Oryctolagus cuniculus: one gene and its partners. The protein of the gene in region 4 purifies or fractionates together with the protein of the main gene of each other region. This does not show direct contact. Links are inferred from orthologs where the notes say so. Each region holds a gene or a part of one and is shown on either strand. Other genes may lie near its edges.

Evidence for each region.
Region 1: the proteins of PRP4K (region 4) and USP39 purify together in Homo sapiens (affinity purification with mass spectrometry; 3 studies listed by BioGRID and IntAct, with this or other methods). This does not show direct contact. The link is inferred for Oryctolagus cuniculus from reciprocal best matches to the Homo sapiens genes PRP4K and USP39.
Region 2: the proteins of PRP4K (region 4) and SART1 purify together in Homo sapiens (affinity purification with mass spectrometry; 3 studies listed by BioGRID and IntAct, with this or other methods). This does not show direct contact. The link is inferred for Oryctolagus cuniculus from reciprocal best matches to the Homo sapiens genes PRP4K and SART1.
Region 3: the proteins of PRP4K (region 4) and RNPS1 purify together in Homo sapiens (co-immunoprecipitation; 4 studies listed by BioGRID and IntAct, with this or other methods). This does not show direct contact. The link is inferred for Oryctolagus cuniculus from reciprocal best matches to the Homo sapiens genes PRP4K and RNPS1.
Region 5: the proteins of PRP4K (region 4) and EFTUD2 purify together in Homo sapiens (affinity purification with mass spectrometry; 3 studies listed by BioGRID and IntAct, with this or other methods). This does not show direct contact. The link is inferred for Oryctolagus cuniculus from reciprocal best matches to the Homo sapiens genes PRP4K and EFTUD2.
Region 6: the proteins of PRP4K (region 4) and PRPF6 purify together in Homo sapiens (affinity purification with mass spectrometry; 3 studies listed by BioGRID and IntAct, with this or other methods). This does not show direct contact. The link is inferred for Oryctolagus cuniculus from reciprocal best matches to the Homo sapiens genes PRP4K and PRPF6.
Region 7: the proteins of PRP4K (region 4) and PNN purify together in Homo sapiens (affinity purification with mass spectrometry; 5 studies listed by BioGRID and IntAct, counting the BioPlex papers as one, with this or other methods). This does not show direct contact. The link is inferred for Oryctolagus cuniculus from reciprocal best matches to the Homo sapiens genes PRP4K and PNN.

The regions. Positions count from the first base shown.
Region 1 is NC_091433.1:117,039,207-117,043,443, forward strand, and holds the start of USP39 (ubiquitin carboxyl-terminal hydrolase 39), read right to left. Parts: upstream 2,801-4,237; 5' UTR 2,742-2,800; coding exon 2,474-2,741; intron 1,485-2,473; coding exon 1,415-1,484; intron 1-1,414. Other genes in the region: C2H2orf68 (UPF0561 protein C2orf68 homolog), read left to right, coding at 3,878-3,984, 4,064-4,182.
Region 2 is NC_091432.1:5,822,228-5,826,204, forward strand, and holds the start of SART1 (U4/U6.U5 tri-snRNP-associated protein 1), read right to left. Parts: upstream 2,801-3,977; 5' UTR 2,735-2,800; coding exon 2,422-2,734; intron 1,245-2,421; coding exon 1,187-1,244; intron 1-1,186. Other genes in the region: TSGA10IP (testis-specific protein 10-interacting protein), read right to left, coding at 3,775-3,895. UniProt on the Homo sapiens protein: Plays a role in mRNA splicing as a component of the U4/U6-U5 tri-snRNP, one of the building blocks of the spliceosome. May also bind to DNA.
Region 3 is NC_091450.1:33,008,794-33,012,993, reverse strand, and holds the start of RNPS1 (RNA-binding protein with serine-rich domain 1), read right to left. Parts: upstream 2,801-4,200; 5' UTR 2,690-2,800; coding exon of another isoform or gene 2,688-2,689; intron 2,663-2,687; exon of another isoform or gene 2,225-2,662; intron 1,966-2,224; exon of another isoform or gene 514-1,965; intron 246-513; 5' UTR 130-245; coding exon 59-129; intron 1-58. UniProt on the Homo sapiens protein: Part of pre- and post-splicing multiprotein mRNP complexes. Auxiliary component of the splicing-dependent multiprotein exon junction complex (EJC) deposited at splice junction on mRNAs.
Region 4 is NC_091436.1:166,254,011-166,257,510, reverse strand, and holds part of PRP4K (serine/threonine-protein kinase PRP4 homolog), read left to right. Parts: coding exon 1-4; intron 5-651; coding exon 652-805; intron 806-881; exon of another isoform or gene 882-1,028; intron 1,029-3,281; exon of another isoform or gene 3,282-3,405; intron 3,406-3,500. UniProt on the Homo sapiens protein: Serine/threonine kinase involved in spliceosomal assembly as well as mitosis and signaling regulation. Connects chromatin mediated regulation of transcription and pre-mRNA splicing.
Region 5 is NC_091448.1:18,146,624-18,150,123, reverse strand, and holds part of EFTUD2 (116 kDa U5 small nuclear ribonucleoprotein component), read left to right. Parts: intron 1-2,090; 5' UTR 2,091-2,094; coding exon 2,095-2,199; intron 2,200-3,500. UniProt on the Homo sapiens protein: Required for pre-mRNA splicing as component of the spliceosome, including pre-catalytic, catalytic and post-catalytic spliceosomal complexes. Component of the U5 snRNP and the U4/U6-U5 tri-snRNP complex, a building block of the spliceosome.
Region 6 is NC_091442.1:205,102-209,271, forward strand, and holds the start of PRPF6 (pre-mRNA-processing factor 6), read right to left. Parts: upstream 2,801-4,170; coding exon 2,460-2,800; exon of another isoform or gene 2,312-2,459; coding exon of another isoform or gene 2,289-2,311; intron 2,176-2,288; coding exon of another isoform or gene 2,035-2,175; intron 1,950-2,034; coding exon of another isoform or gene 1,778-1,949; intron 1,701-1,777; coding exon of another isoform or gene 1,519-1,700; intron 1,302-1,518; coding exon of another isoform or gene 1,236-1,301; intron 1-1,235. Other genes in the region: SAMD10 (sterile alpha motif domain-containing protein 10), read left to right, coding at 1,236-1,301, 1,519-1,700, 1,778-1,949, 2,035-2,175, 2,289-2,311. UniProt on the Homo sapiens protein: Involved in pre-mRNA splicing as component of the U4/U6-U5 tri-snRNP complex, one of the building blocks of the spliceosome.
Region 7 is NC_091443.1:36,472,375-36,476,416, forward strand, and holds the start of PNN (pinin), read right to left. Parts: upstream 2,801-4,042; 5' UTR 2,357-2,800; coding exon 2,244-2,356; intron 1,592-2,243; coding exon 1,520-1,591; intron 1,113-1,519; coding exon 1,044-1,112; intron 590-1,043; coding exon 517-589; intron 404-516; coding exon 309-403; intron 160-308; coding exon 84-159; intron 1-83. UniProt on the Homo sapiens protein: Transcriptional activator binding to the E-box 1 core sequence of the E-cadherin promoter gene; the core-binding sequence is 5'CAGGTG-3'. Capable of reversing CTBP1-mediated transcription repression.

The DNA of each region.
Region 1 (4,237 bases), on a different chromosome or scaffold from region 4:
GGAAGGTATCCAACATGCCACCTCCGACTCAGTGAAAAAAATAGCATAACGAGGTGACTATTTCTGCTTTCAAGAAAATTTTTGTTATCTTCCTACTGAGTCCTAGGCACCCAGAAAAGTACCGCGTATGTAATCGGTACTCAATAAATACTTAAATTTGCTACTACAAATTATTACAACACACAAACTCAACATGAGCTAAGAGCTCTTCATGCATATGCCCACCCTTAAACAACATGCTCTCTGACGTTTCTACAACACGTATTCTACCAGTTTAAATGAAGAACAAGTTCAAGTCCTGGCTCCACTCTGGATCCTAGCTTCCTGTTAATGTACATCCTGGGAGGCAGCCTTTACTACTAAAGGCTCAAGTAGCTAGGTCCCTACCACCCATGTGGGTGACCTGGACTGAGTCCCTGGCTCCCAGCCAGGCATTTAAGGAGTTAACCTACACACGGGCACTCTCTGCCTCTCAAATAAACAAACAGAAATTGTTTATGAACATTGGAGCAGATACTTGGTACAGCAGTTAAGACATCACGTGGGTCGCTCACAGCCATATCAGAACACTGAGTTTGAGTCCCGGCTCTACTTCCAATTCCAGCTTCCTGCTAATTCAAACCCTGGGAAGCAACACATGACAAACAGCTCAAGTACACCCATGCGGGAGACACCAACTGAGCTCCTGACTTTGGCCCGGCCAGCCCTAGTTGTGGGCATTTAAGGAATGAATCAACAGGTAGAAAATACCTCTCTCTCACTCTCTCACTCTCTCTCTCTCTCTCTCTCTGTCTCCCTTTCTTTGCCTTTCAAACAAAGATTAGGCCAAAAAAATGTTTAAAAATTTTATTTATTTATTTTTTATTTATTTGAAAGTCAGTTACACAGAGAGAGGAGAGGCAGAGAAAGAGAGGTCCTCCATCCAGTGGTTCACTCCCCAATTGGCCGCAACAGCCAGAGCTGCGTTGATCAGAAGCCAGGAGCCAGGAGCTTCCTCCGGATCTCCCACATGGGTGCAGGGGCCCAAGCACTTGGGCCATTTTCTACTGCTTTCCCAGGCCATGGCAGAGAGCTGGACTGGAAGTGGAGCAGTAGGGTCTCAAACCGGTGTCCATATGGGATGCCGGCACTCCAGGCCAGGATGTTAAGCTGCTTAGCCACAGCGCCGGCCCCTTAAAAAAATTAATTGAAGGGGCCGGCGCTGTGATGCAGCGGTAGACCCGCTGCCTGCAGTACCGGCATCCCATATGGGAGCTGGATCAGAAGTTGAGCTGCCCATTTAGGATCCCAGCATGAAATCAGGGCTTTATCTGCCACACCACAACACCAGCCCCTTAACCTGTGTCTTAACCACTAAGCTAAAAGACTGGCTCCTCCACTGTTCTGCTACCTCTGGTGTCTTTACCCTACTGACCTGTTAATGGTATCCAGGTACGGGCAGTGGCGGCTCCTCCGGTCCTCAGAATCCACGCGGCCATTCTTCGCTAAAAGGAAAATCACCACAGGCTTTGAAAATGAGAAACCAGTACTCAAGGCCAAACACAGAAGGAAGACACAACTGAAGACACACTAGCACGCAATCCATCAAGATGAGCTCCCCATTAACATAAACTCCTTTCAGAGAGCAACAGCAACCAAAAAAATGTCTGCTAGTGGAATAAGCCTCAAACTAGGAGAATATATTTGGTACACGTATAAACAAAAATCCACTAATCTATTACATAAAGAATTCCATGAAGCATGAGAGATATGAAACATATCACAGGTTACAAGATAAACTGAATGTAACATCCACGAACAATTTAAATAGCATAAATGAATGCCCTTCAATCTAACACTTGCCAAGAACTATAAGGTTTTACTCTATTTGCAGGCTAGGGAGTTAGTCTGGCAGTTTCGTGGATGCTAATGGAAGACCCCCAACTATTGGGTCTGAAACAAAGGAGTCTGTTACAGCAGTAATAGCAGCAGCCAAAAGACAGCCTTGCTATCCATTCCCTTCGTCAGCTCTCACAAGGCAACATTAAGAACCCACGCACAGTGCGCTGCCCGAGAGGGGCAGAATCCTGAGGCTGGAGATCCTAACTCCTTTTTTAAACGGGGCTGTGTGCTGGCCACCTCCTTCGCTCTACTGGGAAACGGCACCTCTGCCCTCCCAGACTGTTCACTATAGGAACACCTTTGACGAGCCAGCCTCTGGTCGCTGTGTGCGCAGAGACGCGGGAAGCCGATGGAGAAGTCTCCCAACACCAGACTGCAAATTACAGCAGGATCCTACAGCTGAGGGCTTATGGGAAAAGTGTTGCTGCTGCTGCTATCAGAAATACTCAAATAACTACGGTTACTAACACTGCCTTCATCGGAACATCTGTATCCCCCTCCCCCATCCAGGCGGGGAAGTAGCAGAAAGTCAAAGACAAAACGGAGATGGCGAAGGTGGGGCTCGCGCCCTGCCCAGCCCGGCCTCGCGCACCTCGCACCTCCCGCTCGGGCTCCGAGTCCTCGTCCGCATCGCGCTCCCGTTTAATCCGCACCACCGGGACGGCGGCCGCCGAGGCCTCGCGCGCGCTCGCCGGCTCGACCTCCCGCTTCACGCGAACCGGGCTGCCGCGGGAGCTCGCCGCCTCCGGCTCCCGCTCCCGATCTCGCTCTCGCTTGACACGACCCGAGCTGCTTCGGGACTCGGACTCGCGCTTCCCGCGGGTGGAACCACGGGACTCCCGCTTGGACCGGGCAGACATCTCCACTACCGGAGAGATCGTCCAGCGCAGGCGCCAGGCACGCGCAAATGCGCGACGCGCAGCCAATCAGGGGCGGGGCCGGTGGAGCCCGCAAAGCTCCCTACGGGTCGCCAACGGGGACAAATCTATGGCGCTACAGAAAATTGTGGGCGGAGTCGCTTCATTCCTGGCATCCTTAGGCTCCGTGCGCTTCTGGGAACGTTTTGTGGGCTAATTTCCTCTTTACCTATCATTTTCAGCCTAAAATAACCTGAACTTTTTCCTGCCTATACGGTTTTATAACTCGCACGAGATACTTAGCGCCTCGGGATGTCGTCTCCCCCAGTCCTGGCTCCTCTGAGACTGACGGCCCTGCACGGGAAAACAAGGCGATAAAGCCCGTGCGGCAACGTGGCAACCCTGATTCCACAACTAGAGGGTTCTAGCTGTCAGCAAAATGCTAAGGCCAATAAAGCTCTAACCTAGGAGCCTGCTATTACCTTGTTTGCTTGTTGGTTTGTTTACATTGGGGGTATAGCTGACCCACAAGGACCTGCACGTTTAACGCGCTCGGTTCGCTCCGTTCCCACGTGGATGCACCGTGACATCGCCACGATCTAGGGGTCCTGTCCGGCCTCAACCCGAGTGAGCCTGTCCTGGGCGGTCCGGAGCTCAAAAACCCTGGGGCTGGTACTGAGCGACTAGAGCAGGGCAGGGGAGGGCCGGGCGAGTCTTCGCGGAGCCGTAGCCTGCCCCAGCACCTGGTCGCCTACACAGCTTATTTGAGAAAGGTGCTCTCCGTGTTCCCATTTACAGGTGAGGAAACTGAGGCACGGCGGGGTCAGCTCAGTTCACGCAGCTGGTGCGAGTAGTGTTCACAGGCGTTAGTAGATGTGCCTTTTTTTCTGAAATTTTTTGATGTACCAACTGTAAGCCGAAGTCCTTGTTTCCTTTTGATGACACAAAACAGCCCCGCCTCCACCCTGTCGGCGCCGCGAACTCCGCGCGCCGCGGCGCTCGGTCCCGCCAGCCCTCCCGCGGCCGGAAGTCGGGACTCCCGGCCGGAAGCTGAGCGCGGGCTGGCTCGGGCCTCCACCGGCGGGAGGGCGGCCGTTGGGGCCGTTGAGGTGGCGGCGACTCTGCGCCCAGGGCTCCAGATGGAGGCGGCCCGGGATCCCGGGCCCAGGCTCTGCTGCAAGCCTGGCGGGCGGCTGGACATGAGCCACGGCTTCGTGCACCACATCCGACGGAACCAGATCGCCCGGTACCTCCCCGCCCCGCGCCACCGCCACCCTTGGCCTGGCCCGGCCGGCTGTCCCTGACTCCCGCTCGGCTCCCCGCAGGGACGACTACGACAAGAAGGTGAAGCAGGCGGCCAAGGAGAAGGTGAGGAGGCGGCACACGCCTGCGCCGACGCGGCCCCGCAAGCCCGACCTGCAGGTGTACCTGCCGCGACATCGAGGTGAGGCCACCCGCCCCGCCGTCTCCTCCAGCCTACGCGCTCTTCCCTTCCACGT
Region 2 (3,977 bases), on a different chromosome or scaffold from region 4:
GCCTGGCTGCCCCAACCAGTGAGCGCCACCTCCCTCTGGCCCTTGGGTGACCCCACACTCTCCCAGCAGTCAGCTCGGGCAGAGAGCCCCTGCCCGCCCGGGGGGAGAGCCCTTGCCCACCCTGGGGGAGCCCCTGCCCGCCCTGGGAGAGAGCCCCTGCCCGCCCGGGGGGAGAGCCCTTGCCCACCCTGGGAGAGAGCCCCCTGCCCGCCCTGGGAGAGAGCCCCTGCCCGACCTGGGAGAGAGCCCCTGCCCGCCCTGGGAGGGAGCCCCTGCCCGCCCTGGGAGAGAGCCCCTGCCCACCCTGGGAGAGAGCCCCTGCCCACCCTGGGGGAGCCCCTGCCCGCCCTGGGAGAGAGCCCCTGCCCACCCTGGGAGAGAGCCCCCTGCCCGCCCAGGGGCACCCCTGCCTGCCCAGAGAGAGCCCCTGCCCGCCCTGGGAGGGAGCCCCTGCCCGCCCTGGGAGAGAGCCCCTGCCCGCCCTAGGGGAGCCCCTGCCCGCCCTGGGAGAGAGCCCCCTGCCCGCCCAGGGAGAGAGCCCCTGCCCACCCTGGGAGAGCCCCTGCCCGCCCTGGGAGAGAGCCCCTGCCCGCCCTGGGAGAGAGCCCCTGCCCACCCTGGGAGAGAGCCCCTGCCCACCCTGGGAGAGAGCCCCCTGCCCGCCCTGGGAGAGAGCCCCTGCCCGCCCTGGGAGAGCCCCTGCCCGCCCTGGGAGAGATCCCCCTGCCCGCCCTGGGAGAGAGCCCCTGCCCACCCTGGGAGAGCCCCTGCCCGCCCTGGGAGAGCCCCTGCCTGCCCAGGGGGAGCCCCCTGCCCGCCCTGGGAGAGAGCCCCTGCCCACCCAGGAGGAGAGCCCCTGCCCGCCCTGGGAGAGAGCCCCCTGCCCGCCCGGGGGCACCCCTGCCTGCCCAGAGAGAGCCCCTGCCCGCCCTGAGAGCGAGCCCCTGCCCACCCTGGGAGAGAGCCCCTGCCCGCCCTAGGGGAGCCCCTGCCCGCCCTGGGAGAGAGCCCCCTGCCCGCCCAGGGAGAGAGCCCCTGCCCACCCTGGGAGAGCCCCTGCCCGCCCTGAGAGAGAGCCCCTGCCCGCCCTGGGAGAGAGCCCCTGCCCGCCCAGGGGGAGAGCCCCTGCCCACCCTGGGGGGGAGCCCCTGCCCGCCCAGGGCTGCGGCAGACGCAGGGCTCTCACTTGGTCTCCTCGATGCTGAGAGATGAGGCATCTCCGGAGCTGGTTTTGGAGCCGGCAGCTGGAACGACAAGCGGCGGGGCTCAGGGGCTGTGGGGCTGCGGGGCTGCGGGGCTCGGGGGCTGCCGGGCCAAGGAGCCGGCCCCGCTAGCTCGGACGTGCCCCAGGGTCTATCAGCCGGCAGAAGGCAGCGGCCCGGCGGGCTCCCAGAGCTCTGCTCCTACGTCCCCTCCTCACCCAAGACGGCCACGTCCTGCCTCCCTCCCTCCCTCTGCCCTCTCTGCTTCTCTATCCCCTGTGCCCCTGCCCCTGCCCCGGCCACATCGTAACCGAGGGCAAGACCAACCAGCCCTGACGCTGCGGCACGGGCAGTCATGTCGGGGTCTGGCCGCCCCCACGGGGCGGGGGTGGTGCCGCAACGCGGCCGTGTCCCGGGTGCCACCCAGGCGGTCAGGAGCAAACAGTGTCTGTTCTGCGCTGCATGTGGGGCTCAGGCGCAAAGCATTTGGGGCCTCCTCCAGCCCCAGGTGAACCCCGGAGAGGAGGGAGCTGGGCACCGTGAGCCGGCCCTCCCCGCACCCCCCACCCTCCCCCTCTACCCCACAGCTGCCTCCTGCACCCCGGCCCCCGCCTCGTGTCACCCCCTCCTCCTAGCACACTCTCGCCCCACGCACCCCGACACGAGCCTTCCGGGTGTCCCCGACCCTTGGGCGACTCATCTCCTCTGTGGCATCTTCCTGGGCCCGCTACTAAAACCCCAGCACTCCCCAAGCCCTGGCCCCGCCGCTGGCCACACCCTCGCAGGGGGCTTCCGGGGCTTCCTAGACCCTCTCGGTGCCCCCACGCACTCTCAGAGCCCAGGGCATCACCCCCTGCCCGCCTCTGTCACCCTCCCCCAACCACCGGGTCCCGGTACTCCCTCCTCGCAGGGGCAGCTTCCCTCCCCCGCCAGCCCTCCTGCCGACCTCTGGCCACGACCTCATGCCTCACTGCCTGGGGTCTCCACCACGAACCCCACGCGCGCCGCGCGCCAGCGAGCCACCTGCTGAGACCGCACGCTTCCGTCCACCCAACACGGAACCCCGCAAAACGAGAACCTGCGTGCTCACGGGGCTGAGCGGACAAAGCCGAGCCCAGGCCCGAATGGCCGGTCGGGGGCTCTGCTCACTGCTGAGCCCAGAGCCCCGGGCAGCACCGCGGACACTGCCGGGCTCCCGGGGCCCCGCCCCGCCCCTCACCGGCCTCGTAGCCGTCATCGCGCTTCTCCCGCTTCACGCGCCGCTCCGAGGGCTCGGCCTGGCTGCGATCCCGCCCGTGCGCACTGCTACGGGCCTCGGCCTCGGCCCCGCGCCGCCCGCTCCCGCGCTCGCTCCCGCGCTCCCGGCTCCGCTTCCGTCGTTCGCCGCCGCTGCTGCCGCCGCCTCCACTCCGGTGTTTGTGCTTCTTGTGCTCCCGATGGCGCGGCGGCTGCTCGGCGGCGCCCCCAGTGCTGGCCGCCGCCGTCGTCCCGGCGGCCTCCTTCTCCCCACGGTGCTTCTTTGACGACCCCATGGTGGTCCGTCCGCCTGGAGCCGGGCAGCCGCCGAGCCCCGACGACGCAAAATGGGAACACTTCCGGGTCGCACGGCAGCCGCTGTCCTGTTGCCGGAAACCAAGAGCGGCCGCTTCCGGCGTGCGCGTTGGCGCTTGCCCCGGAGGCTCATGGGAAGGCGGGGACGGGCTCGGATCCCGACGGGGCTCTGGCGGCCAGCCCTGGGCCGAGCGGCGCTCAGCTCGCTGGCTTTCCCGCTGCGCGCGCCCCTTACGGGCGCAGGATTAGCTTGGAGGAGACGGGATCGCAGAATGTTAGGGACCTAGAGGCCATCTAAGCCAGCGCCCCGGAGCTGGAAGCCCCTCAGGGCCGGCCCTGGGCAGGTGGTCCATTCCAGTGGACTCCGGGGATCTCGGCCCCATCGGGCAGCCCAGCCTCTGGGCGCTGTAAGCAGCGAGCGCTGCCTTTGCACGGGTCCCTGAGCTGAGCTGAGCTGGATTTTTTTTTTTTTTTTTTTTTTTTTTTTTTTTTTTTTGGACAGGCAGAGTTAGACAGTGAGAGAGAGACAGAGAGAAAGGTCTTCCTTCTGTTGGGTCACCCCTCAAATGGCCACTACGGCCAGCGTGCTGCGCCGATCCAAAGCCAGGAGCCAGGTGCTTCTCCTGGTCTCCCATGCGGGTGCAGGGCCCAAGCACTTGGGCCATCCTCCACTGCACTCCCGGGCCACAGCAGAGAGCTGGCCTGGAAGAGGAGCAACCGGGAGAGAATCTGGCACCCCGACCGAGACTAGAACCCGGGGTGCCGGTGCTGGCCTTGTTTTTGAACCTCTGCTGTGAGCTGCTCAGGGAAGTAGCCTTAAAGGCCGCGTCCGTTGTGCCCTGGTCACTCGTGAACTGGCCCCAGGACATATGGGGGAGATGGAATAGAGAGAAACGGCCATTGCTCTTCGAGACGTCCACTGGGGAGCAGGGCCAGGGCTGTGGGGACAGAGCCAATCCTTCCCACTGGCGGCTTCCCCACCACCACCACAGACCCCCACGCTGAGTTTGCCACAAAACCTTTAATTTTTATCTCGGGGACCGCTCGCCAGGTCCACGCTGGGGGTCAGGTGCCTGTCAGGCTGGCCTCCGGGGGGCTCCATCCTTGGGCTCTGCCTGCTCGTCTCCGCGGACCTGTGGCTCCTTAAAGACAGACAGCGGCCGCTGAGCACAGCTCCCACTCCCACGTGCGTCCCAGCCCGGCAGCCGTCCTGGCTTCCCGTGC
Region 3 (4,200 bases), on a different chromosome or scaffold from region 4:
GGTCCCTAGCGGTGAGCACCCCCGATGTAGCACTAGAAAAATCTGGCAGGAGGATTACCTAGTGCTGGACTTTTTATTATTTTCTTTGACTCCTAGCAAGCTCTTCTTTTTCACTCCTGATAAATCCATCCTCCCTTCTGAGGTGTTCAAAGCGGCAATGGCGGCCTCACTTATCTGAGCTCTCACTTCTAACTCGACTCTGAGAAACGGTCCCTAATCGATTGCAATTTACGCCAAAGAGCAGCCTAATAACAAGATAAAAGGATGTAGAGAGTGAACGAATTGGCAAGGCAACAAATTAACTTTGCAGTACAAAGCTGAGCACACACGAAGGCAGTCAGGAACACAGCAAGCAGCAGGTACCCACAGGACCAGGGCATGCGGGGCAGCCACCACTTCCCCACGGGGCACAGGTCAAGCCGGCACCCAGCTCCTCCCTGAGGCGGCGGGTGGTCCCCGTCGCTTTATCCTAGAGTTTCGTTAAGGGTGACGGGCCCTCAGCAGCACACTCACGAGGAGGACAGGGAAGCCTAACGCGAGTGTGGCTGGCGGATCAGGCCTCGTCTCTGCTGTGGTTCCCCTCCAGGACACACTGGATTACGACTGGAGACAAACATCGTTTCAGAAGTGGTTGGTATCAGCACCAAAACATTTACTACCCAAGCACGAACACTTAGAGAGTAGTGAAAGCGATTCTCAAGTTGTCAATAGCAAACTGTAGTGCTAAGCACGACGTGTGCAGGGGGAAAGATTCGCACGAGGCTGTGATTTAAAGAAAAAACGAGATGGTGGCTCCACACGCGCCAAGAAACCCAACAGAGGGACCGCAGAGCCCCAGTGGTGGCTACTGAGCATTAAACATTACTTCAATTTTTCTGTATGGTTAGAACTTTTAAAAAGACGCAAGTGTGTGTGCGGGGGGAAGCTGACACTTGAAACTGGGCGAGATGCTCCACTTCATTTAAGGGCTGGCCAGGTGCCTGACGCCAGCACACGGTGAGCAGTCACGTTAACCAGTTACTCAAAACCGCTCATCTCTCACCCAGGCTTTCCACGAGGTTCTGCACAACCGCGTGACCTGTGAGCAGGCGCGGCTGCTCATCCCACCGCACACCGCGCGGCCGCAGCCCCGCAGCTGGGCAGGCGCTTCCACGTGATGCCGATCCACGTTCTGACCCAGGAAATACGAGGGCCGGCTGTGGACACTCCAACGAGCGGCAGAGGGCAGAGGATCCCCGGGCAGCTCCTTGCCAAGGCTGCCCTCTTCAGAATGGCTGCCTCCAAACCATAAGGGACCACGGACACCCGGTCAGGCTGGTGTCCTGGGACAACCCCTGGGTGTAACTCAGCCAAGAGCCCCGGCCTCGCTGTGGACCCTCAGCAGCCACTGTCCTCTCTAAGGCCTCTGGTCGCCAGTTTGTTACCAGCAATGCGGTGACAACAACCCCCCTTCCAGCATTTTCAAAGGCAGTAACCAATGAACTCACGAAACAGACCCCGCACCTGGTTGAGGCCCAACAGAAGTAACATGAAAAGGGCTGTTTCCAGAGGCTCTCCTCCCCGCACCGGGAGCCTCAGAAAGGTCATGGAAAATACCTATCTGCAAAGAACATGCGTAGGTTTCATTTTTTTGCACCAAAATCTATCTTTTAACTCCCCTTTCCATGAATTTTCCGAAGTTCCACACACTCCCAATTCCTGAATTCAACAGTGTCCGTGGGCCCCACCGTGGGATCACTCGGGGCAGCACGGCCACTACCGAGCGCGCCAGGAGTAACCTGGAACTGCCTTGTAGCGCCGTCACAAACCAGGTAAATCCACTTAGAAAACACTGGACACCCCACACCCAGCGGGAACTGCATTTCCCGTTTTCCCCTCCGAGTCGTCCTTTGAACCCCAGCCCGGGCTGGCTGCGCCGCGGGCCCCGTGAGCAGCGGCCACCTCGCTGGCCAGGGCGGCGACCCCCGCCCCGCCCCGCCCCGCCCGAGGACGAGCCCCGCCGGTGTCCTCGGGACGAACACCGAAGAGCCACGGGGGGCGCGCTCGCTCTGCCGGGCGCGGTCGGCAGCTAGAAAGCAAAGGTTGAGGTTCTCTGTCCACAAGTCCAGGGCCCGGCGCGGGACCTTGGTGACCGCCCCCGTCCTCCGGAAGGTGCGCGTCCAACAGCCAGAGAGAGGAGAGAACAGTTAGTCACGTCTCGAGCAGAAGGGGCCCCTCCCCGCACCGGAGCTGGGCCTCACGCACGGTCCACGCCAACAGCACGGCGGCAGGCGGCCCCGCGCCGCGCCGGCCCGACCTCGCCACGGCGCCGGGACCCGCCGGCAGCGCTGGAGCCGCCCCTCGGGCAGCGCGCGCCGCCTTCCCGGGCGTCCCACACAGCGGCCCCGCCGCCCCCCGCGCTCGCAGGGAGGGCCCGGCTCCCCAGCCCGCAGGAGCGCCGCCGCGGAGCGGACCCAGCCGGGCGGCTCTTCCGTCGGCGGCGGCCCCGACCACTTCCGGGCCGCGGCCTCGACGCCTCCCACTCCGCCGCCCCGGGCCACATTCTTTCTTTCCGAGTTCCGTGCCGCGCCGCCCGGCCGCCGCGCCATCGCGGGGCTGAGAAGCCGGCTGGCTGCACGATGCGACCCTCCCGGCCTGGCGGGCGGCCCCTGCAGCTCGGATGCGGTCGGATTCCGCCCCCAACTTACATCTTCCCGCCGCCGCCACCTCCTCCCGCTCTCCTCAGCCGCCGAGGCCGGCGCTTTTCTGTCGTCAGAGCGAAGGCGCGGGAACGTGCCGCCGTGCGGCGCACAGCGATGACGAAAACGCCTCAGCCAATGGGCGCGAGCTGCGGAGCGTTCGGGGCAGCGGACGAGGGTGGGGAGCGCCGTGAGGGTCGCTGGCTGTGTCTCCCCGGTCAAGAGGGCTCTCGGCCCTGGGCAGCCCCTTTCCGGAGCTCCCGGAGCGGGCATGGCGACTTGCCGGGGCCCCGGGGCCGGCACGGACGGGGCTGACGAGGCCGCGCCTCTGCGAGCGCGTGCGCACTGGGGGCGGCGGGTCTTCTCGCCCGGGGGTCTTCTGGGCGGTAGCCTCTCCAAGGCCGGCCTAGAGGGCTCGGAGGGATGGGCCGGCGCAGGACGTGGGTTAGTGCGGTCAAACCCCACTGCTGCAGAGGGAGCGGCGGGCGCGAAGGCCCGGGAGGCGCGGTCGGAGCCGCCTGGCAGGAGCGGCGAGTGGGGAGGGCTGGGGAGGGGGCTTCTGTGGGATTGCGGAAGGAAGGACGGCGCCCTCGCCCCAGCTGGCAGCCAGGAGGGCTGGGGGGAGCAGCGGGTGCAAGCCAGGGCCTTGCAGAAAGCAACCAGCGGGCAGTCGGAGAGGCAGCCCGGGTGCGGGAGGGTGGGGGGAGCGCTAGAGCGGTCGGGGTCTGCCGGCGCGTGAGACTCCTTCCCCATCCAGGAGGGTCACCCCGCCCTCACCCTTCACCTGCGGCCGAGGAGGGCAGCGGCCGGGGTCTGCGGGCGCGTGAGACTCCCCCATCCAGGAGGGTCCCCCTGCCCTCACCCTTCACCCGGGGCCGAGGGGGGCAGCGGTCGGGGTCTGCGGCACGTGAGACTCCCTTCCCCATCCAGGAGGGTCCCCCTGCCCTCACCCTTCACCCGGGGCCGAGGGGGGCAGCGGTCGGGGTCTGCGGCGCGTGAGACTCCCTTCCCCATCCAGGAGGGTCCCCCTGCCCTCACCCTTCACCCGGGGCCGAGGGGGGCAGCGGTCGGGGTCTGCCGGCGCGTGAGACTCCCTTCCCCATCCAGGAGGGTCACCCTGCCCTCACCCTTCACCCGGGGCCGAGGGGTGTCCAGGGAGTTGGGCACAGAAGCCTCCGGCGTGTGCTGCCCTGGGGCGGGGTTGGCAGCCCGTCCAGTCTGGACACATTCGAGGGACAGGCGGGAGGTTCAGTTCTCTGCACGCCTTCAGGGGCAGAGGAGGGCAGCCCCTGGCGGGGGTGGTGTTGGCCATGGGCCGTCTGGAGGAGGCCTTGGCCCCCAGGGCCCGGGCTCAGAACCTGTGCCTGTGCGGGAGAGTGGGGGAGACCACAGCACTGACCCCAGCCGTGACAGCCCCCTCAGAACCTGTGCCTGTGCGGGGGAGTGGGGGAGACCACTGCACTGACCCCAGCCGTGACAGCCCCCTCCCTGAGTTTTTTTTTTTTTTCTTTCCTGGTAATGC
Region 4 (3,500 bases):
TCAGGTACAGAACTGAAAGTGGCTGCTTCGTCTCTCAGCCTCATTCTGAGTAAAAGCTGTGGCAAGTAGTCTGGGTGCTTATTAGTTTTGGCTGGTCAGTTTGCAGTTTGTTTGTGTTTGTTTTGACTGTTTTGTTTTCTGTGACTTGTGGTTGAGAGTTAGCATCTTCACAGTCAGGAATGTATAAACGTTAATTTATTGTAAACTCCTCATCAGCACTAACCTCACGTAGCCAGCAGGCCAGCAGCAGTGGTTCCTGAAAATTAAATACTTCAGAGAAGGATTAGGCCAGAGTGAAAGAAATAGGAGTGGGAGGGTTGAAACACAGCTTTTCTCTTCTGCATTATGGCCTCACTGTTGTGCTTTCAAATCTAAGCCCACTGTAACATAAAAATAGTTTCACCACACAGCTTCCTTGCGACTCATTTGGAACATTGATTTTCATTTGGAAATGGTGTTGTGTGCACAGTTTGATATGCTGTCATTTCAGCGTAGAGCAGCTTGTCAGGTGTTAAAGGAAGGGGTTTCTTGAACAGAGTATTTTCATTGTGAATCATTTTTGCAACTAATATTCGTGTTTAAAATTTTTTTTGTCTTTCATATTTCCATGTTGCATTTTAACACTATTTTGTTTTTGTTTTTTTCTAAAAGTATGAATTTACGAGAGGTGTTAAAAAAATATGGTAAGGATGTTGGTCTTCATATTAAAGCCGTCAGATCATACAGTCAGCAGTTGTTCCTGGCATTGAAACTCCTTAAAAGGTGTAACATTCTCCATGCGGATATCAAGCCGGACAATATCCTGGTGAGTCAGACCACCTGGCTGCCTTCTGCATCTGTGTCTCTTCTTACTAGCAATGTAATTATTACTCTCATTCCAGAAATGACATCTTTAAAGCACAGTTCAGTATACTAATCCATTACAAGCGGTTCCAATTTTGCCTTTTTTGGAAATGACCCATGGCATCCTAGAGAGAAGTAAGAAGAGGAAATTTTCCCCCCACTTTTGGTTGATGGATTGGTTCAGGGTATGCTCACGCCCAGGGGTGCTTTATACAGTGATAATGAGTTTCCTGTGGTATCTTAAAACACGTGCTGCATGGGGTGACGTTTCCAAATAAGAAGTGTCCGTGCTCCTTTGTTCTCTGATTCTATAACTCGTGGAATTAGGGGCATTTCAAGAGACTTAGCCTCTCTCCAGTAGATGTATGCAGTTGGCTTGAGAAAGCACTGAAGAGTAACTTTTCTGTTGTGCTCTTTTTCTCCCTTGGTCTTCATTGCTTTAGAAGCAGTGGCTCCTGGGGCCCAGACACTGAAGCTTGGTAATGCTGAGGCGTTGTACTGAAAGGCCGTCTTTTACCCTCTCCCCATAGTGACTTAGGATTCCATAGTGTTCATAGCATTTTTGAGATTTGGAAGCACACACCATGGTGGCATGATGAACACATGCACACCTTCCCTCCCCCCCCCCCCCCGACCCCCCATTTCTTTACCCTGTTCTGTGCCGGTCACAATTCACAACTTGGAGAATTTGAGCTCACCTGCCAGTCACATGTTTTGCATTTCATTTTTCTTAGAATGGATGCTTTATGTCAACACTCTGGTAGTTAATGCTTATGAGAGGTTCTTAGCAAAAGCCAAGCATGTAAAGTCTCTTTTGCTGGGAATTGTTTGAGCGATGACAAAATAAATTATTAAAAATATTGTGATCTTATTAAAATTTAAGATCTCTTTGGAGCCAGCATTGTGGTGCAGAGGGTTAGGCTGCTGCTTACAACCCTGGCATCCCATATTGGAGTGCTGGCTTGAACCCTGGCTACTTGGCTTCTGATCCAGCTTCCCGCTAATGTGCCTGGGAAGGCAGCAGATTCTTGGACCCCCTGCCACCCACAAGAGAACAGGGTGGAGCTCCTAGCTCCTGGCTTTGGCCCAGCCCAGCCCTGGCTGTGGTGGCCACTTGGGGAGTGAACCAGCAGATGGAACATCTCCCTATGTCTCCTTGTCACTCAACCTTTCAAATAAAACCTCTGGGGAAAATAATGAAGGACTCTTTATCAATAACTGAACTCTGTGATTCAGATTTCCCTTCTCTTTCTATGTCTTAAAATTTTCCTTCCAGACTACCATGTTAATAATGAGGTATATTCCTTTTTCATAGTTTGTGTTTATATTATATTGTATGTCTAATAGAACTAGGAGTAGGGGAGTTGAGTAATAGTGAAATGGGAGGTACATTATAAATGACTTAAGAGTTGCCTAGCCAACTTCATAGTTTTAAACATGATTTTTTTTTCTCTTTTTAAATTGGGAAATATATCATCCTTCTTCGGGATTTGCAAAAGGTACAGTGGGTATCTGTGTGACTGCTGTGGGAATTAAGTCTCATAAGCTCTTATTTCTAGCACTTCGTTTTTTTAATTTATTGCTAAATTAGTATAGATTTTCATATGGATTTCAGAAATGAAATGTTTTCCCTTCTTCCTGTGGAAAAGTAAACTTCAGAGAGCATGCGGAGCTGTTGGTTGTTAATCAAAACCCGAAGCTTCCAGGCTGTGGTTCCCCGTGGCGGTGGTGAAGTGCCACCTCTTTCCTGGGGAGTTGTGCAGCATGAAGCAGCGTGTGAGCCTGGAAACCGTCCTGGTGTCTTAAGGCCTTGTGGCAGGTCCCAAGAGTTTTTCCAGTAATCCAGCTTGTATTTTTTTTTTTTTAACATTGATTTATTTATTTGTGAGGGAGTTGTAGAAAGAGATCATCCATCCACTGGTTCACTCCCCAAAGGGCCTCAGTGGTTGGGGCTGGGTCATGCCTAAGCCAGGAGCCAGGAACTCCATCTGGGTCTCCCACATGGGTGGCAGGGACCCAAGCCTTGGACCCTCTTCCACTGCCTTCCCAGGCACATAAGCAGAGAGTTGGATTGGAAGCTGGGCAGCTGAGGTTTGAATCAAAGCTCCCGTATATGGGAGGTCAGCGTGCCAGGTGGCTGCCTAACCTGCTGCACCACAGTGCCAGCTACAGCTTTCTGCTTCTAACAAAGCTTCGAAGGAACTTTCACTCTAAGATAACTGCTTTCCTGACTCCCAGAATGAAGAGAATGGTAATTGATGTGACAGCTGAAAGTGGTCATTTCTGTTTACTGCTTAATTCCATGGGCATCTCTGGTGTTCCTTCAGTCTGTGACACTGACCTGCCCAGGGCTCTTTAAAGTGTTCAGTTTGTTTGGGGTGGGAACAGTAGGCCACGTTCAAGTCCCAACTCGGAATTTATGTGTGTCTCTTTTGAAGGGGGGCAGGGACTCTGGAATGTGACTTACCTTCACTTGTTAATCCTGAACCTGCTTCTGACTCATGAGTGGCAGCAGTCATGGGAGCAGCGCCAGCCTTGCTCAGCAGATGTCACTGTTACTGTGTATGTGGAAGTATTTACAAGGAAAGAGACAAACCGACTAATACAGACATCATTAGCCATTTTGCCAGATGTATTTATCATTTTTTGGACTAATA
Region 5 (3,500 bases), on a different chromosome or scaffold from region 4:
GCCATCCTCCACTGCCTTCCCGGGCCATAGCAGAGAGCTGGCCTGGAAGAGGGGCAACCGGGACAGAATCCGGCGCCCCGACCGGGACTAGAACCCGGTGTGCCAGTGCCGCAAGGCGGAGGATTAGCCTAGTGAGCCACGGCGCCGGCCTGAATTATTCTTATTTTAAAAATTATTTAAAAGTCAGATACAGATACCTCCCATCTTCTGATTCACTCTCCCAAGTGCCTGCAATAGCTGGAGCTGGTCCAAGCCAAAGCCACAGAGCAAGGAAACCAAACTGGGCCTCCCTGCCAGGGTGCTCATTAATAGGAAGCTGGAATTTGAACCCAGGAACTTTGCTTTGGGATGCAGGATCCTAAGCAACATTGTAATGCTCTGCCAAATGTGTGTGTGTGTGTGTGTGTGTTGAAAGGCAAGAGTGACAGAAAAGTAGAAGCAGAGAGAGAGATCTCTCATTCAGTGGCTCACTCCCCCACTGTACTGGACCAAAGCCAGGAGGCAGGAGCTCCAGCTGGACCTCCCCCACAGGTGACAGAAACTCCAGTACTTGAGTGAGCATCTGCTGCCTTCCAGGTGCGTTAGCAGCAAGCTGGATTGGAAGCGGAGGGGGACTCTATCCCAGACGTCTCCAGCAGCAGCATAGCCACTGCACCACAGTGCCACCCCATCCGTTTTCATGTTTGTGTTTGAGGGGCAGAGAGAGAGAAGGAGCTCCCGTCTACTTTTTCACTCCACAGGTGCCTGCAGTGGCCAGGCCAAGGCCCGTGTGTGGCAGGAACCCAGTTACCTGGGCTGTAGCCTTGGCCTCTCAGGGCCTACATTGGCTGGAGGCTGAAGTAAAGAGGCAGAGGCAGGTGTGGAGCCCCAGCACTTCTGTCGTCTTACCTGCTAGCCCCAACGCCTGCCTCTTGAACTATTGAGTAGTTTCTATCTTTGAAGTAGAGAAAACCTACAAAGTAGTAATTACAGTGGAAAAGGAGGAACTCTATAATGGAAAAACTTGCCGATACTTCCTTAATCAAGAATCAAAGTTAATATCATCACAAATGGGACAAATTGAAGTCACAGACCACCCGATAGGAGATGCGTTGAGAAAAACACAGCAGCATTGCTGTGGCACTCCTGCCGAAAGGGCAGAGCCTGCGTATACTCCTGCGGAAACATCCCGCAAGCCCAAGTGAGGGGACAGTCTGCAAAATCACTGCTTCTAAGCTTCAGCAGTGTTAAGTCATAGAAGCCAAGGCCAGACTGAAGAACTGGGACAGGCTGAAAGAGAGGTTGACAGGGCAACTCCAAGAAAATGTGTGATCCTGGCTCGGAGCCTTGGCTGTGCAGGGTACTGCGGTGGCCCACTTGTAAAACCTGAGTGAACTCTGTGGTTTAGGTGGTAGTAATGGGTCCATAGTAATTTTATGCTTTGGATGACTGTACTGTGGTATGTAGGAGATGTCCTTGTTTGTGGAGGTCACACACGCTGAGACAGTGGTTGGCAAGCTTTCTGTTAAGGGCCAGAGAATATTTTAGGCTTTGTGGACCGTATGGTCTCATTTCCAGCTCCTCAACTTTGCTGTTGCAGTGTGAAAGCAGCTACATGTGCATGAACATGCCTGTGTTCCAGTGGAACTTTATAGACACTGAACTTGAATGTCATTAATTAATGTGTTATGAACTGTTTTAACTTGAAGAAAAGCATTCTTCACTTGGGGCAATGCAAAAGCAGGTGGAGGGGCCAGAGTTGGCCACGGGCCAGTTTGCCAGTTCCTGTCCTGAAGTATTACAGGGTGGTGGGATGTTGTGTCAGCAGGCTGCTCTCAGTAAGTTAGGCAACGGGAAGTTATTTGTACTGGCACTTTTGGTATTATATTATTTTAGAATCTTTTTCAGTATTAAAGAAGAGGAAGGAACAGTGTTTAAGTAGTAATGCCAAGTAGGCCAGAGAGGTGGGGAAAGTACTGGACTTTGGGGGGTGCAGTCGAGAGCTGGATATAACTGGAGAGGAGGTGTGTGCAGGGGTCTGGTGGACCATGAAGCCAGGAGACGGGGACTATGTTGTCAGTCTTCACTCTTCTCTTCTTTTTGAATTTTAGCACCATGGATACTGACTTGTATGATGAGTTTGGAAATTATATTGGACCCGAGCTTGATTCTGATGAAGATGACGATGAATTGGGCAGAGAGACCAAAGATCTTGATGAGGTAAAAAAAATATATTGGGTTCTTTTGTCTGTCTCTTTAAATTTTATTTATGTATTTATTTATTTGAAGATACTTCTCATCCATTGGTTCACTCTCCAGATGACCGTAGCAGCTAGGGATGGGCCAGGCTGAAGCTAGGAGCTGTAAACCCAGTGTGAGTCTCCCATGTGAGTAGCAGGGACCCAGTTACTTGGGCCATCATTTGCTGCCTCCCAGAATGCACATTAGCAGGAAGCAGGAATTGGAAGTGAAATTGGGATTCAAACCCAGGCACCCCGAAGTGGGATGTGAGCATCCCAAGTGTTTTTTAGTCACTGTGCCGAAAGCTTACTCTGTCTCTCTCTCTCTTTAAGATTTATGTATTTTATTAGGCCAGTGCTGCGGCTCACTAGGCTAATCCTCCGCCTTGCGGCACCAGCACACTGGGTTCTAGTCCCGGCCGGGGCGCCGGATTCTGTCCCGGTTGCCCCTCTTCCAGGCCAGCTCTCTGCTGTGGCCAGGGAAGTGCAGTGGAGGATGGCCCAAGTGCTTGGTCTTCACCCCATGGGAGACCAGGAGAAGCACCTGGCTCCTGGCTTTGGATCAGTGCAGTGTGCCAGCCGTGGCGGCCATTGGAGGGTGAACCAACGGCAAAAGGAAGACCTTTCTCCCTGTCTCTCTCTCTCACTGTCCACTCTGCCTGTCAAAAAAAAAAAAAAAAAAAAAAAAAGATTTATGTATTTTATTTGAAAGAGTTACAGTTAGAGAGAAAGGGAGAGACAGAGACTGAGAGATCTTCCATCTGGTTCACTCCCCAAATAGTCACTATGGCTGGATCTGTGCTGATCTGAAGCCAGGAGCTTCTTCTAGGTCTTCCACATGGGTGCAGGGGCCCAAGCACTTGGGCCATCTTCTACTGCTTTCCGAGGCCATAGCAGGGAGCTGGATCAGAGGTGGAGCAGCTGGGGCTTAAACCAGCACCCCTATGGAATGCCGCTGCCCGTATGCCATATGGGAGGCTTAACCTACTACACCACAGTGCCAGCCCCTGCCCTTCTCTTTTTAAAATTAACAGTAAAGTGCTGAATCCTTTCTCTTCCCTTTATACCCTGTGTACATCTCTAACATTGTCCTTTTTATAGCATGATTTATTGGGGTCTTATACTGCCCCTGAGGTAGCTTAGCTACTAAAGTTCCAAAAGGGGGTATCAGATCATTTCATGGATGAGGTCATTTTGTCTTCTGAGTTCTAGTTCGTCTGGTAACATGCCTTCTTCTCTTAGGCTTAAGTGCCTTTTGGCAGTCATGAATAATTCTGACTT
Region 6 (4,170 bases), on a different chromosome or scaffold from region 4:
TGCACCGCGACCTGACAGCAGCCGGGATCCCACCGGGATGGGAGAGGGTCCGCGGAGCCGCTGCCTGCCCCGGGGGTACCAGCACCGGGAAACAGGCTGAAGGAGCAGGGAGGAAGGGGCGTCACTGGGGTCTCTGGGCAATGGCTGCACCCCTGTGCTAAGCACCAGGTGCTGTCCTGGGCCCAGCTTGTGGTGCGGGAGGATTTGCCAGGGCAGGCCGTCAGGAGGGACATGGGGCAGGGCTGTGGACACAGTGTTTCGGGCCAGGGCGACTTCAGTGGGACCGTCTCCCTGCAAAGGCTGCCCAGCAGGCAGGGCCTGCCCTCTGCAAAGGCAGGTCCTGTGTGTGTGTGTGTGTGTGTGGGTCCCTTGTGTGTGCCCAGGTCCCATGTGTGTGCACAGGTCCCATGTGTGTGCACAGATCCCATATGTGTGTCTGCAGGTCCTGTGTGTGTGTGCGTCCTGTGTATGCACAGGTCCCATATGTGTGTCTGCAAGTCCTGTGTGTGTGCATGTGGGTCCCATGTGTGTGCCTGCAGGTCCCGTGTGTGTGCACACAGGTCCTGTGTGTGTGTGCACAGGTCCTGTGTGTGTGTGCATGTAGATCCAGTGTGTGTGTTTGCAGGTCCTATGTGTGTGCACAGGTCCCATATGCGTGCCTATAGGTCTCATGTGTGTGCACAGGTCCTGTGTGTGTGCCTGCAGGTCCCATGTATGTGTGCACAGGTCCCATGTGAGTGCCTGTAGGTCCAGTGTGTGTGCACAGGTCCTGTGTGTGTGCCTGCAGGTCCCATGTGTGTGTGCACAGGTCCCATACGTATGCACACACGCACACAGGTCCCATGTGAGTGCCTGTAGGTCCAGTGTGTGTGTGCATGGGTCCCATATGTGTGTTTGCAGGTCCTGTGTGTGTGCCCAGGTCCCATGTGAGTGCCTGTAGGTCCAGTGTGTGTGCACAGGTCCTTGTGTGTGTGCCCAGATCCCATGTATGTGAATGAAGATCCTGTGTGTGTGTGCACAGGTTCTGTTTATGTGCCCTGGTGCCATGTGTGTATGTGCAGGTCTCGTGTGTGTACATGCAAGTCTTGTGTGTGTGCACACTGATCCTGTGTGTATGTGTGTGTCCAGGTCCCGTGTGTGTGCTCTGGTCCCATGTGTATGTGTGCACAGGTACTATGTGTGTGTGTACACGGGTCTCGTGTGTGTGTGCACTAATCCTGTGTGTGTATGCCCAGGTCCCGTGTGTGCATATGCAGGTCCTGTGCTGCATGCGGGAGGCTCAGAGGCCAGCCCTAGGCAAGGTGTATAGCTCAAGGCTGCCCCTGCCGCCCCTGCCGCCCCTTGCCTGGCTCCCTGGAGTGTGGGTCCTCTGCAGGTAGGAGGCGTGGTGCCTCCAGTCTCTGGACTCCTGCCGGGGGGGGGGGGGCTTGGGGATGTGACTCCCCTCAGGGGTGGGGAGGAGACGGGCACGACAGGGGAGCTGCCTCTCAGGAGCCTGACCAGGGCCCCCGCACACAGCCACCGCCCACTTCAGCTTCTGCCGGACCGTCCTGGAGCACACGGTGTCCGCCGAGAGCATCCCCTGCCACCTGCCTCGAACGCCGGGCACCAGCCTCACGTGGCACGACCCCCGCAGCCAGAGGGCGTGCGGCAGCAGACCCATCAAGCTCCTGCAGCAGCCAGGCACAGAGGCCCCCCAGGTACCCCGCCGCCCGCCCCCGCCCCCCGCGCCCACTACGCCACCCTCACTGCGCCCACCACCCTCCTCTCCCTGCAGGGCCAGCTGTACTCGGACCACTACGGCCTGTACCACACCAGCCCCCCGCTGGGCGGCCTGACGCGGCCCGTGGTGCTGTGGACTCAGCAGGACGTGTGCAAGTGGCTCAAGAAGCACTGTCCCCACAACTACCTCGTCTATGTCGAGGCCTTCTCCCAACACGCCATCACCGGTACGCCGGCTGCTGCCCTCCCGCGCCCCTGGGTGAGTCCCGAGTGTCCCTGTGGGCCTCAGCTTGTCCGCCCCTCTCCCTGCAGGCCGGGCACTGCTGCGGCTGAATGCGGAGAAGCTGCAACGCATGGGGCTGGCGCAGGAGGCCCAGAGGCAGGAGGTGCTACAGCAGGTGCTGCACCTGCAGGTGCGCGAGGAGGGGCGGAGCCTGCAGCTGCTCAGCCAAGGTCTGTGGGAGAGGCTGGGGGCGGGGCTGGGAGGGGTCTCTGAAGGATCTCAGGAGACTGGCTGGAGGGGCCCGGGAAGGGTCCACCCCCATTCGCCCCCATCTACCCCGCAGCTTCCTTCGGAAACATGTCCTAGCTGCTGCTGAGGCTCAAACCCCAGACCAGCACTGTGACTGGAGCCCGTGGCCAGGGACGAAATGGTGCTGGCGGCTCAGCTCCCGGACCCTGTGGACGCCTGGGCAGCAGAGCCCAGTTCTGTGGACAGGCGGGACCAGGACGCTCACCTCCAGGTGCTTCTGGGTGGGCACTCCACGCCGCATCGGGGTTGGGCGCCCTTCCTCCTGGGACCAGAGCACGTGCTGCTGGCCGCGTGTGCAGCAGCTCTCTCGAGCCAGAGATGGCCAGGTGCCTGCAGCGTCACAGCACTGACCCGTCTGCCACCCAGCTGGGATGAACTCCTCAGCCCTCCTAGCTCGGTGCCCCTCCTGTCCCTGCCAGGGCCCGGCAGGCCCAACTCACGGCCCAGAGGAATGGTCATCAGAACCCAGCGGCTGGCTGCCACACCCAGCGCATGCTGAAGCTGGCTCCCTGCTCCGAGTCCGTGAGAACTGAGGCCAGGGGGCATCCACACCCGTGAAGACGAAGCCACCCAATGAGGTGACCTCACGCAGGGGCCTGGGCTCAGTGCTGCTCCTCAGCCGGTGCCTGGGGGACTATTGCGATCCAGCATCTTCTGCCCGGGTCAGTGGCACAGACATTTTCCGTTGTCACTCTCCCGGGAAGATCTGGATTCACAGGAGAGGCTGTCCCAAGGGCCTCGGCCCCACATCTGCCCACAGACGCCAGAGCATCCCCTCCCTGGGTGCAGGGCAGCCCTCTCCCACTCCCCCCCCCCCCGGGCTCTCTCAGGGACAGATGAGGCTGAGCCCAGCCCCTCTGTGTGCCCTGAGCCGGCCTTGGGTGCGAGGTTGGTCATCGCAGCCGCAGGTCCCGAGTGGCATTCGGAAAACTGGCCTGGCACCTCCGTCCTGTGCCATGACCCCCAGCTGCCCGTGTCCCTGTCCCCGACCACCCTGTGCTATAGGTCTTTCCCCAGGGAGCCCTTCCTGCCGCCACCCATCCTCCTGCCTCTGTCTTGCCCACCCCGTGCCCCTGTCTTGTCTTGTCTTGCGTTCACTTTTTTATACTCTGACAAAGAGAAGAAAAAAACAAACAAATAAACGTGGTTCTCAAGTGCCTGCTGCACTGGGTGTGGGGGGGGGGGGCGGCATGCCTGGCTGCCTGCAGGCCGCGCCACCAGGGGGCAGTGGAGCTGCGTTCTGAAGAGGCCTCCCCCAAGGCGGAGGCCACAGCCGGGGCGCCCCACGGGGGGTCCTGGGGCTGCTGTCCCGGGATGGGGCCTTTGCCTTCTCTGAGGCCAGAGGCCAACCCCAGTGGGGCCTCCAAGCCCCTTCGGGTTTCTGGTGCCTGCCTGTTGGCCCTGGCTCCCTCTCATCTCCCCAGGCAGGGACTCTGTGTGCAACCCTCCTCCAAAGAAGGCCTCCCCTGTAGGGTCGGGGCTCCAGCCTCCCACACAGGGCAGGGTCGGGACACAACACCCCAGCCTCACGGTATGGCCACCCAGGCACACGAGGGCACCGGGCCGTTCATTCGCCAGCCCTGGGCAGGCACTGGCAATGAAGTCTCGCCCCAGGGGACCCAGGCCAGCCCCTCCCCCGAGGTCCTGGTGAACCTGAGTTCTGCCCCCAGGCTGGGCAGGGGGTGCTGAAGCAGAGGGCCTGAGAGAGGGCTATGCACCTGTCTCTACCTCCCGCGCAGCAGTGTCCAACGGGGTGCAGAGGTCCATGAGCTTTCCTGGGGCGTCTGAAACTCAGCAGATGCAGCAGCACACACAGCAGAAGCCTGTGGACGCTGTGGCCCACACAGGGTCCACCCCAGGGTTCCTCTCTCCCAGCCCTGCAGGATGGCTGCGTCAGGGAGGGGGCAGGGCCTTGG
Region 7 (4,042 bases), on a different chromosome or scaffold from region 4:
TGAAGTTTTAGAAGAGTTTTTAAGTTCTTTTCAAAAAACATTAATCAACCATTTTGATAAAGCAAAACAAAAACCATAAATACCCTTTCAGTGGCAACAGTGGATTCCTGTTTAAATTTTTGAAGGGTGCCCATCAACAAGCCAAATATTCGTCGGTTCCTAAGAATAGAAAAAGAAAATCCCATTTTAACAGGCTGTACATTTAAATCTGCCATTTTCTGATACTGCAGACAGTTGAATAATCCCTTCACATTTTTTAAATTGCAGGATTTGACAGATTAGTTTCCCCAAAAGAATTCTAAAGATACCTTTGCTTTCCCTTTTCATCCATATTTTGATCCTGGATAAGGTCTCTACGTGTACGCTCTTTGGAGGTAGCTACAACTGAAGACTGCAACGCTGGCTGTAGGCGAAAAGAAAATCTTATTAATCTAACTAGTATATGAGTGCCATGCTTTTAAACACAGAGTATAAATATTCCATTCACTCTCTATTAAGTTCTTTTAATCTCAGTACCTTTTTAACATCATCATCCTCTGGGTCGCTTTCTTGGCGTGATTCTCTTCTTGTCCGACGCTCCCCGCCCAGCCTGTCATGGCAAAAAGTAATTTAAATAACCACTGCAGAATTTGATGTAAATGCATAGCAAGGCAAATGCCTACTGTTGCTAGGTCTCTTTCCCAGAAAACTCATTTAGCAGTCTCCATCCCATTTACTTTTTCCTCTGGCAAAGAAAGGATAAAACGTGTCAACTAATGCCCAAACTCTGAACTCCTATGACATATAAATTATTTCTTAGGCTATTTAAGTTCTTTAAGTACAGGACATAAAAATACGGTACAAATGGACTTCTTATGACCTTAGTCTGATAAAAACTGGATCACCTTGAGCAAAGAACTGAATTTTGAGGAACACTGGTTATCTCAGTTCAGTCAAATACCATGGCAAGCTTTAGGGAAAGTGGATACTAGTCAATTCTAATGCAACAAAACAATATTCATGAAATACTTATTTTTGTGTACTTAAGAATCTTTCAAACCTACCTACTGACTGCCCCTTCAAGGTCTCTCTGTTTGGCTGGGGGTCCTCCTCCACTATCTGAGAATCCACGCCTGCAATTAAAATTGTTCAACAGAAAGCACTTGAAACACGAGATACAAGAGAACGCAATTTGATTTTTAAAAATTCTTTCAGTTAAAGTTATGTTAAGTGGGATTCACTCCAAAATACTTCACGAAAAAATACAAGAAAGTTGCACAAAATTCTCCAACCTCTTACATATAAATGAAGCTTCAGAATAGCTAGTTACATAGAAAACTAGCTGATTACAACATTAAATGCAAATACTGTGTTGTTCTTTTTTAAGATGTATTTTAATTATTTTGAAAGACAGTTACACAGAGATGGAGAGACAGAGAATACCACGTTACTCTAACACTGGCTCCAACACAGGTTTTGTTCAAACAGTGTATTAATTTAGTTAGCCTTTAACACTAGTAAAAGCGTAAGGGAATCTTACCTCAGCAATAAATTACCACGTCCTCTACCTCCACCAGGACCAGAAAGGGCCAGCAACCTGGCTTGGATGGGCCTGGAAGGGATTTACTCGTCAGTACAAAAATTACAGGAAGACCAATCTAACGGCACCAAATCCCTTCCTACCTGTGTTAGATCATAAAAAAAAAATAATAATAATAACTTCCCCAAAATTCTAAGACGGTTTAAAAGCCACACGTTTGAAACGGGGCAGGGAGTCCTATTTCATTTAACTTCCTCGTTTTTCTCGAGACCATTATCTCAGAAATTATGTTTACCTCGATGCCACCACTCGTTACCAAGCCAGGACCGGGTCCCCATGGCGCCATCCCGGAGTTAGACGCACGTGGGCAAGGGCTGGGAGCGAGGCGGTGGGCACGGCCCGGAGGGTCTGGGGCCAACCCCGGGCAGGGAGGGCGGCCGCCGCAGCGGGAAGGGGCTTTGTACTGCAGTTCCGGGGCCCGCGGGGCTGAGGGCGGGAATCTCCAGTCCAGCCCATCTCACAAGCCGGGACATCATGCCGGCGCAACGAGGCGCGCTACGGCGGGGCTGGGGCCTCCCCAAATCAGGGAGGACGGGAATCTACCGCCGCCCGGGAACAGGCCTCGATGTTCCTGCCTTCTCAGGGCTGGCCGCTCTCCCCGCCCCCAATTCACCCTGACTTGCTGGCTGCCTCTCCGAGCCCGCAGTTCCCGTCCGCTTCCTACCTCACGTCATTGGGATCTCGCCCGGTGAGCTTGCGGATATTCTCATCTACGTTCTTTAGGCTCTCTTTGGCCTTTTCTAGCTGCTCCTGCAAAGTTCTCACTGCGACCGCCATTTTCTCCCTGCAGCAGGCTTCAAGACTGCTCTACAGGCCGCGCCGCGCTGCGCCGCGCCGCGAGACCTGAAAGGACTGACAGCCGGATTCAGCCAATGACGAGCGGCGTTGATTTTTGGTCTCAACCACTCAGAGACTGGAAAGGGGAGACACTGCCAATCTTTGTGGCTCTGGACCAATGAAAAGTCAGCCAGGCGGTCGCCTCCCTCCCCAGTTTCCTGCGGGTGGCTGGGTCCCGCTTCTAGCGCAGAGTCAGGGCGGGCTTGAGAGAGACGTGTGTCCTCGGGGACGTACTCGCAGACCTGCAGTTCTGGCGGAGAGCGCTGGGCTGTTCAGCCCTTTTAACCTGTGGTGTGACGTACGTTATATCGTTTTAACGACAAAATCCCACCAGGGTGGGACGGAGGCCAGTCGGCTTCTCCTCCGTCTCGCACCCGGATCAATAATCTAATTAAGAAAGGGCGTGGCCAAATGGTTGGTGCGCATGCCCGGAGGTGGAGTGGGCGTCTGCTTCCCTCCATTAGGTTAAAGTGAGTAGGGGGAAGCAGAGTGAAAGATGAAGAATAAGAAACGTCATACTCCTAAGAACTGACAGCTGTATCGAGCTGGTCTGGTTCTGGACGCCGTGTGAAACTTTACGTGCCTTGTTCCTCACCACCAAGCGCTTTGAAACAGTACCAGTTAATACTGATAAGGAATACTGCCCCTAGGTCATGCCAGAAGTCGCCATCCGATCAGACCCGGTGCCAGGCTTTATTAAAAGAAAAAACCGACGACGAGAAGAAAAAAGTCGACGCAGGCACGACTGACTGAGCACCTTCGCCTAGTCTACAGCCTGCTGGTTTAAGACCCAGTCTGTGGTGTCCCCATTATTGTTGGTGTGTGTATGTGAGAGAGAGAACTGGCCTCTGGTTCTACTCTGCCTGCACCGCCAACGTATGAACTGATTTTGTTTGAAAAAAATGTAGTATAAAGCGTAGGTCAGAAAACATTTCCCCACGGAAACCACTTGAATAATCTCAGCCAGCCATCCTCCTTGCACTAAACATTAGCAGGGCGACTATATTTAACTAGAGCTACCATTTTATTTCAGGATCTATCCTTTAAAACGATCACTGTGTATCAGCAGTAAGCTAGACTGGGGGTGTGGGGGGGGGGCGAATTTCCTAAAACAAGTTAGCTGTGGCTCCTGCTTTTGTGGAATGGGTAGCTCCTAAAGGAGCAAAGATCTTTGGATCCACCATTGAGTGTCTACTGTGAGCCAGACACTGTTCTAGGCACTTTGGATAAAGTGGTGAGCAGCAGAGGTCTCTAAAGGAGCTTGCAGGGAGGAAAGGTGTGGAAACAGATTATAAACAAAAGTAAATTATGTGGAGTGTTAGAAGTGTTACAGAGGGGCCGGCGCTGTGGCGCAGTAAATTAATCCTCCGCCTGCAGCGCTGGCATCCCATATGGGCGCTGCTCCGCTTCCGATCCAGTCCTCAGCTGTGGCCTGGGATAGCAGTAGAAGATGGCCCAAGTCCTTGGGCCCCTGCAAACGCGTGGGAGACCCAGAAGAATCTCCTGGTTTCGGATTGGCGCAGCTCCAGCGGTTGCAGCCATCTGAGGAGTGAAAGAATAGAAGGAAGACCTTTCTCTCTCTCTCTCTCTTTCTCTCTCTTTCTCTCTCGGTAAATCTACCTTTCA